Drosophila melanogaster: one gene and its partner. The protein of the gene in region 2 interacts with the protein of the main gene of each other region in a pairwise test. Each region holds a gene or a part of one and is shown on either strand. Other genes may lie near its edges.

Evidence for each region.
Region 1: the proteins of CG12075 (region 2) and Hesr interact in a two-hybrid assay, tested with the Drosophila melanogaster proteins (one large-scale study listed by BioGRID).

What each region holds. Positions count from the first base shown.
Region 1 is NC_004354.4:18,203,628-18,206,945, reverse strand, and holds Hesr (HES-related), read left to right. Parts: upstream 1-1,801; 5' UTR 1,802-1,825; coding exon 1,826-1,987; intron 1,988-2,115; coding exon 2,116-2,403; 3' UTR 2,404-2,543; downstream 2,544-3,318.
Region 2 is NC_004354.4:8,836,042-8,841,345, reverse strand, and holds the start of CG12075 (uncharacterized protein), read right to left. Parts: upstream 3,024-5,304; 5' UTR 2,862-3,023; intron 1-2,861.

The DNA of each region.
Region 1 (3,318 bases), 9.4 Mb from region 2:
CCAACGCATCGTTGGGCGCGAAATGTGGAAGAGTTGTCAATGCCACGCGGTGTGGCCCCCCGAAGAGCGCGCCAATTTTCACCGCCCGACGTCCCACCAACACGCATAATTTCCCACGCTCCCGGCGGGAAGTGTTGGAATGGGCGGGGAATGGGGGTTGCGTAGCAGGGGGATTCACGAGGGGGAAGTCCTGACAAGTTGTCAGCGGGGCTGTTAATGAGCTGCGTGTGTTGAGTGAAAACGTGATGAATCTACACTGCCTCGGCCCACTTGTGCCTGCCCAGAAATGTGTAAGTAATCCCCGAGTTCTCAAAGATCAGCGAAGATCAAAACAAGATCTTAGATTCCAAGTCATGGAACGCTTAGCATAATAGCTCACCTACTTGTGGGAAAACTTTTAGAAGTGCATTTAATCGTTAGAAATGTTTTACAGTCGTATAAGGTAAATTATTCATCCCATTCAATAAAATACATATTTTGCATAAATTATTGCAATTTTATAGTTTTTTTTTTTGGAAGTTATGTCTCCTTAACTACCCACTGTACTAAAGATCTAAGGAAAATTGACTTTATAACAGAGATAGAGAGTATAAGCTATGTTATACCCCCTTATTTAAAGTCCAAGCTCAGATACCCTGCAGTAAGGGTATGCAAAGTATTGCAATTTGCGCACGAGCAGACAGCGACAACTATTTGATGATCTGGGGATCGGAGCAAAGTTCTCTGGCACACAACATGTGTCGACTCCCCTGCCACGCCCACCGGTACCGCCCCCCGGCCCAGTGTGGCGTTTAATAGCTTGCCTCAGCAGCTTGCCGCAATCGCGTGCACCAATGGTAAGTGGGGATCGAGCGTGGGAAACGCGCCCTTGCCGTAATCCCAAAAAAAGGCCATTTGAAAAGCACAAGTCCCTTCGCAGAAATATCAACAAAAACAAGGCAGCAAATCAGATACTTCAGCTGGCGCGGAAGCCATCGCAGAAAACCAAATAAACAGAAGCCTCCAGAAACAGATTCTCATCGGTTTTGACACCAAATGAAGTTGTATAATAGTCGAGTGCACGGGAAAAAATATTCCAGAACGTGAAGAAATATTTTAATTTTATATATCTTGAATAACATAAAGAATGGTGTTGACAAACACCACAGAACATAAGTTTGTAAATTCATACAAGAGAATTCAACTTGTATCTTAACTTGTAAAATTAGCTATACTTTCAAATAAATATTATATCTCCAATCATTTTTTAAAGTGCAAATCAATTTGTGATTGAGATATAGGCATACAGGGATTGTATGGTCCAATATATCTGGTGTCTTCTGGTTTTCTGTGAATTATTTGGAACTTCCCCAATTCGCGTTCCCTTCGAGCAACCAAGTATCCCAGTAACCAGCAACGTTTACTTTTCCGATTCCTAGGAACCCCAAGTAGGTGTCTTTAGGCCGGCGACAACTTTTGCCATCAGCAAATTTTCCTCAATGAAACACGCATCGTCTGCAGTCGACATCGCTGCTTCGGTTGCGTAAGCTGTCAGAAATCTGAGATGGTTAATGCAAGGTAAGTAAAAAAAATAAAATGCGACTGAATAATACCTCGCAGTATTTAGTACTAAAGACCAAAACAATTGTGAAATACGAAAGATGCAAATTGTGCAAAGTAACTGTAAAGAAAACCAAGGGATTCATATATGGGATGAGCCCATATTTCCGTAAAACTAATATGCCCTGAGCCGTGCTACTTAGGGTGTATCTAAGCTGCCGCTGCTGCTCCAATTCCTTGGGCCATTCAGTCGCTTAAGATCCGAAGGTGGAGCTGGGCCAGGCTTATGATGGCACGTCCCGAGGAGCAGAAGTCTCATGTTGGAGCAAAGTCACGATCTCATCAGTATCGAGAGGTTTTTAAGCCAATGATGGAGAGGAAGAGGCGGTCACGCATCAATCGCTGCCTGGACTTTATTAAGGACCTGCTTCAGGAGGTGTCGCATCTGGTGAGTGGTCTCACGTTGACCTCTGACCCATGGTCTTCTTACTCATCTCAGCTCGTAGCAAAATGATTTTGTATATTGTATCTCTTAAAATTGATACAATATAATATGTTTGAAATGTTTGCATACAGGACGGCGAGACCATGGCCAAAATGGATATGGGAGATGTCCTGGAATTGGCAGTTCACCACCTGAGCAAGAAAAACTGTCCGGTGGCCACGCCCACCACAGCGCCTACATCCGGAGTATATCAGAGCCCAATTGATTGCTATTGGAGTGGCTTTCGAGAATGCGTCCTGGAAGTGTCCCAATTTCTGCAACACAACGGCTATCAGCCGAGTTTCGAATTTGCGAAAGAATTGGATCATCTTGTGGCCTCCACATCCAAATCCAAGCCAAATCTCTGGAGGCCCTGGTAGTCGTCATGGGAAATATCCACTTAAGTTCCTCAACTCACAATTTTTAAATAGGATAATTATAAACTATTTAGACCCAAGTCCACTAAAGACAGTTTTACAATAGAGGCATGAAATAAAACTGCACATTCGTTTTTTGCTTTAAGTTTATCTTTTTCTTTTCGCAATAATTCCAAAAACTTGTTAGGTATGTGGTTTGTGTGTAGAATGTAGAATGTGTGTAGTGTAAGAATGAGTTTCCATTGGGGGTTTAAGTTTAGAATCGTTTTAATTGTTAATAAACATTGCTTAATGCATTCGAATGCTAAATTAAGTATTGCTTATGTTGAATATAATGCACACAAAGTAAGATTTTCATCTGCTGCTATCAGTATCGTTAACGTTATATCAATGTAGTAGCTTACTAGATACCCAAAAAAAAAATACATATCAATAGAGTAGTCGAGAAAAGGTGTTCTTTGAGATTATCCTTAAGCTTATTGGCTTTTTGTTTAGCAAATACGTGTGAGTGAGCATGGGATTTTCTTACAGTCTATGCTGAATTTTTTTGTCGGGACCCTCAAACTTTCCGCCTTTGTATGTACAATACGAGTATATGTATGTAGTTCACAATAATTTCGAGTTTGAGTGTAAGAAGCGCGAAAATTGATTGTTGCTGCAGTTTGTTTTAGTTTGGTTTTCCATCGACCTGCTGATTTGTATCTGTTGCATATATGTATAGGTATACTCAAAGTTTCGTATATTTAGATATCGATATCTTCTCAGCTTCGCTTGATTTACTCAGTTTTTATTTCACTTTTTTTTTTTTGAGGACAGGAAGGCATGCAATTTTGTGCAGTGTAGGTGTGAGTGTCTTCTTAAATTCAAATCGTTTCCAACAATAAATCTATGCAAAAACAATTTGCAAATTGCACAAGT
Region 2 (5,304 bases):
GATCAAGAGGCCTTTTCCAACATTCCATTCAAATGAATTAACTTTGCAAAATACATATTTCTTTTGCCATAACATTTGATAAAATACTCCAACTATGGAATGTGATATATCGTTGTGCTCGTAATTCAATTTCCAATCAAACTGTATTCAAAAAGAAGAAAACTTTTTTTTGCCATTGTTTGTAAGTTTTGAAAATTTTGAAAACATGCGAAAATTTGGCCAAAAATTAATTTTAGAAAATCAGTTTAAAAGTGAGAGGGGTTGTTAGTATTGGTTGTAAGGAGTATACAATGGTACTTCTTTTTGCTCTGTGACCATTTTTAGTCAAGTTATACCCAAAAAAGCCAACATGAAAATTCAGTTTTTTGCCAAAAATAGTTTCCAGATTTTTTGTGAAAAAAATAATCGGTTTTTCGATCATAACATTGGAATAAATTACCCAAATATGGAATGTCATACCTCGTTGAGTTTGTTTTTTAAATTCCAATCGATTTGCATTCAAGTTTGGGAATTCTAGGATTTTTCAATTTTTTGCAAATTTTGATGATGTTACCCCTTACAAAAAATGCGAAAATTTGGCCAAAAATTAATTTTACAAAATCAGTTTAAAAGTGATAGGGGTTGTTAGTATTGGTTGTAGGGAGTATAAAATGGTACTTCTTTTTGCTCTGTGACCATTTTTAGTCCAGTTATAGCCAAAAAAGCCAAAATGAAAATTCAGTTTTTTGCCAAGAATAGTTTCCAGATTTTGTGTGAAAAAAATATTTGGTATTTTGATCATAACATTGGAAATAATTACCCAAATATGGAATGTCATACCTCATTGAGTTTGTTTTTTAAATTCCAATCGATTTGCATTCAAGTTTGGGAATTATAGGATTTTTCAATTTTTTGCAAATTTTGATGATGTTACCCCTTACAAAAAATGCGAAAATTTGGCCAAAAATTAATTTTACAAAATCAGTTCAAAAGTGAAAGGGGTTGTTAGTATTGGTTGTAGAGAGTATAAAATTGTACTTCTTTTTGCTCTGTGACCATTTTTAGTCAAGTTATAGCCAAAAAAGCCATCCTAAATATTGAATTTTTTGGCAAAAATCGTTTCTCTCTGTATTCTGATCAGAACATTCGATAGAATGATCCACATATCGAGCCTGGGGAGTCAATTATAGACTTTGAATCATAAATCTCACTTTTATAGTCAAGGGCCCATAACGCGTTTATCAAAGTCAAAGTGGTTTGATTGGATAATACGATATAAGTAATTCGTGGTCTGCAATTTGACTTGTACTCACTTTGAACACCATTATCTGCAGTGAGCATTTGCAACTGCATGATTTCGCTTATTGAATTTGTTGCACGACTTAAATGATCAGGTAAAACTCAGTTGACCGAATGATTTACTTGACATTTTACCTCGTCTACAATTGCTCAAGATGACTGCAATGATGAAAATAATAATGGAAATGCATATGGAATATCAGAGGCTGCAATTTTCAGTGTGGCATTAAATTCCTTCACTTCAGCGAAGCGCAAAGACAGCAGCCAGATGATATGAGGGAAAATCGGGGGAGAGGGGCCAAAGAAAAGCTTAAAATGTTGGAAAACTCGTTTCGTCTCGGCCAAAAGAAAAATGCAGATAAAAATAAATAACGAAAACGAAAACTGAATAAGAAATGGCATCTTCTAGGGCAGCAACGAATATGGATGTACCCTAAAATAAATCATGATACGGTTCGCTTGAAATCCCTTCGAAAGTTACAATTTAAAAGATACTTCTTCGCTATCCAGTTTACCAAGCCGATTGATTAAATCACATATAATTGTATTATAGAAATTAAGTACTTTTAAAGTCTAAACAAAGGGTAATTGGTTTATCGCTACCCAAGAGCTGCTAACTCTGGCGAAATAGGTGAGACGAGAAGTTTTTGTGCGGATGGTGGTAAGTCGAGGAGGCCCCAGCGCGTCCAAGAATTTTCCTAGCCAACATCTTGATTGTGCCTACATCAACTGGGACTGCGGTCCCCTTCGAGCCTCTCGAAACTTGATTTCAGCGTTGTTTATGAATTTGTTGGCCATCAGGAAAGGCAGCAGCCGGAGCATAACACACAGCCACTGCAAAACACTTTTGGCCAGGCTGGGACTAAAGCCCCGTAGCTGAATGCTAAGAACTGCCTGATGATGCTGAGCCTGGGTGAATGGTCAAGTCATAAATAAAAGATCTTCGGCCAGCATTCTGCAGATGTTGTCTCTTTAATTACCCCCAGCACATATCGCAGGTTCTTGTGAGCGGTGAGCAAACACACACGTTTAATAGACCAAACCTAATGTGCAGCCTGATGACAAAGAGCCGTTTTCCAACGTCTTCCGCTTTTGGTACCAAATTCAGGCCAAAATCAACTTAATCCGCATTTCTATGCGATTCTCACAGAGCATAGCTAATTAGATGGCAGAATCTCATTAGATTGCATAGATTTGCCAGGGCTCTCTATTCACGAGCTGTCATAAAGGTTTTTGGTTTACTATCAATCTTAAGATGTTTTTTTTTGGTCCAGTTCTACGAACTCATGCTGCATTTCAAAATAAACCCAATTGTCTTTGGTTTTCACCATGTTTAGCATCGTTTCACATATTTTCACCTGTTATTCTACACAATTTCCCTCACACTTGGTGACCTTCCATCCGGCCCACTGGCCCCCCAGCTGCACTTTCATCTCAAGGGTGACCCACACTAACTCTCTGAAAGAAAGCTCTCTCACGTGCTGGTATAAAATTCATTCAGATCGCGCTCATCTTTTCATAGGCCACAAATTGGCCTGGCCAAAATAAATATGCGAGCTGTGTTTAATTTGCCGTTAACTTACCTCATAAAACAGTGCTTATATTTTAGTGTCTCGTTCGAAAAGTAATTAAAATAGGCACTTTTGTTTGATTTTAACAGGAAAAAAAACACTGAAAAGGGACTGTTTATACTGATTGTTAAGTGGCTAAAACAACCAACTTCTTTGAAACACGCGCATAAACTAAAAATTAATAACAAAAACAAAAACACGCGGGAGAAAGAGGAGAAAATAAATGTGTTGATTGTGGCATAAAGGGGGATCTTCTGAAACCGGTTTTTGTTCAACTTTTATGAGCTTTTCACAAATTGTAGCTTGTTTTTTAGCGCAACTAAATAATAAAACATTTTCGAAAATGTACAACTTAGTCGGGACACAGCACCTGAAACAAAAACTGAACGACGTCTTCGTTAAGTTAGCGCGCAAGAAGTTCGCTTTTAGTACATTAGCCAAGAAATGAACCATAGTGCATTAGCTAAGACACCAACCGGTACTCAAAATATCTCTAAGCAATTCTGTAACTTTAAATTTAACTGAGTGATAACAGAAAAGGTAAATAAAATTAACTGTGATATTTTGTAAATTTAAAAAAAATGGAAATCTTTTTGAAACTGGTAAAACCATTTTTTAATGCTGTGCTCCTCATTACAGTTTGCTTCTTTATTTTTTTATTGTCATCGGATATTGTATTGTGTTTCTATTTGCGTATTTAATTTTACATTTTGCACTTGCATTTCGAAGTTAGAAATTGAAATTATGATTTCATTTTGAGCTTTCCCTCCCCATGTTCTCGTGCAAAAATATTTTCATTTTTAACAATTTTTAACTTTCTGCCATGAAAATGATAAAAGTTAGTCAATTTTTTGTGCGCGATTGCAAGGATTGTGTGCCTGAGGATGCTTCGCTCGAAACTTTCGAATGGCACACAGATACTCGCACAGATACGCACGCACTCACACATACACATACAAAAAATGCCCGCGGCTTAACGCTGCGCAAAGCCAACCAAAAACTATGAAATTTCTATCTGGTATATATGCATGCATGCCAACTACAGTGCATCCTTGAAGTTGATACACATTTTCTGCGAATCTTTATTGTTAAATATGTATGCACTGCAATATAGTTTTATTTGCCAATACTGTCATAATCTTCCAAAAATAAATAAAATGTTAACTTAAGAAAACACACACATACCTGTTCGTTTTGCGGAGATTCCACTGTTTTTTTTTTTGTGGGGCCATTTGTGCGTTTCAAGTGAGGCTTCGCAAACGAATGCCGGAAGTTGCCTTTCGAATGCAAAATGCAAATTTAAGGAAAAGGAGCATCGTCAGGGGGGGGGCTTTGGTTTTGGTATGGGGTGTGCGATAAGGACACGCTGATAAACGAACTTGAACATTTTTTGACAGTTGTGCGTATAAATCTTGAAATGTTTTAATTTGCTTGCGAATCGATTTAAAGCGCACAGCAACGAAGTGCAAAAAAAAAAACGCAGCGAAAAATGGCAAGACAAAAAATGGTTGAAAAACGCAAAAGAAGCGTAGAGCAAATGGCAACGTAGTCCAATGCGGCAAGCAACATCGTTGCGTATGATTTATGAATGACATTTCAGCTCTTCAATATCCTGCAAGCATTCGGGCAATGGTGAATTGCTGATGCAGCTTGATGACTTAGAAATACAAAAACCTTTCACAAGATTATTTATGAATGCAGTGAAATAGGTGAAGTTGCATGATATTGCATAGTGTTTCGAAAATAATCTGTTTAATCTTTTAATATTTAAGCTAGTGTTGAAATATGAAGAATTTTGTAAATAGTCAAAATATTAGGGTATTCCAGTGCTCGGCTACCAGCTAAGCATTTTTTTTTTCGTTGTGTGTGGAGCATCGCGAATTAGCCAAAAGCCGTTGCCAATCTCAGTGTCCAGTGCCCAGTGTCCATTGTCCCGCTGTCCATTTGTCCGGCTTTTGGTCATGGTATTGGAGTTGGAGCTGGAGCAAGAGCAGGAGCAGGAGCAGCAGTAGGAGTGTGGGGTGTTTACCTTTAAAGCGTCGCTGCTGGCTCGCCATTTTTTGCCTGGTTCTTTTGATTTTGATTTCGGCCTCGCTTTTGTTTTCATTTTTCCACTGGCGGCTCTGCTTCAGCGCGCTGTCGCTTTTTTAGTGCACCAGTCAGAGTCACCAGCCCAATCTCAATCGCAGTACCAGTCCCAGTCCCAGTCGCAATCCAAATCCGAATCCGAATCCGAATCGCAATCGCAATAGCAATCCCAATCTCAGCCAGTCGCCAATACCAGAGATTCCGATCCAGGGCCAGGCAATTCCATATCATATTTTTGCATTGACCCCGGTCCGCAGTCGGTTTTTTGCTCTTGGCGTTTATAGATTGAGTACTTTATCAAAAAAACGAGACATCAAAGCGTATATCATGTCAGCTGCAGACGCTGGGCCAGGGATCCCCCTTCTTA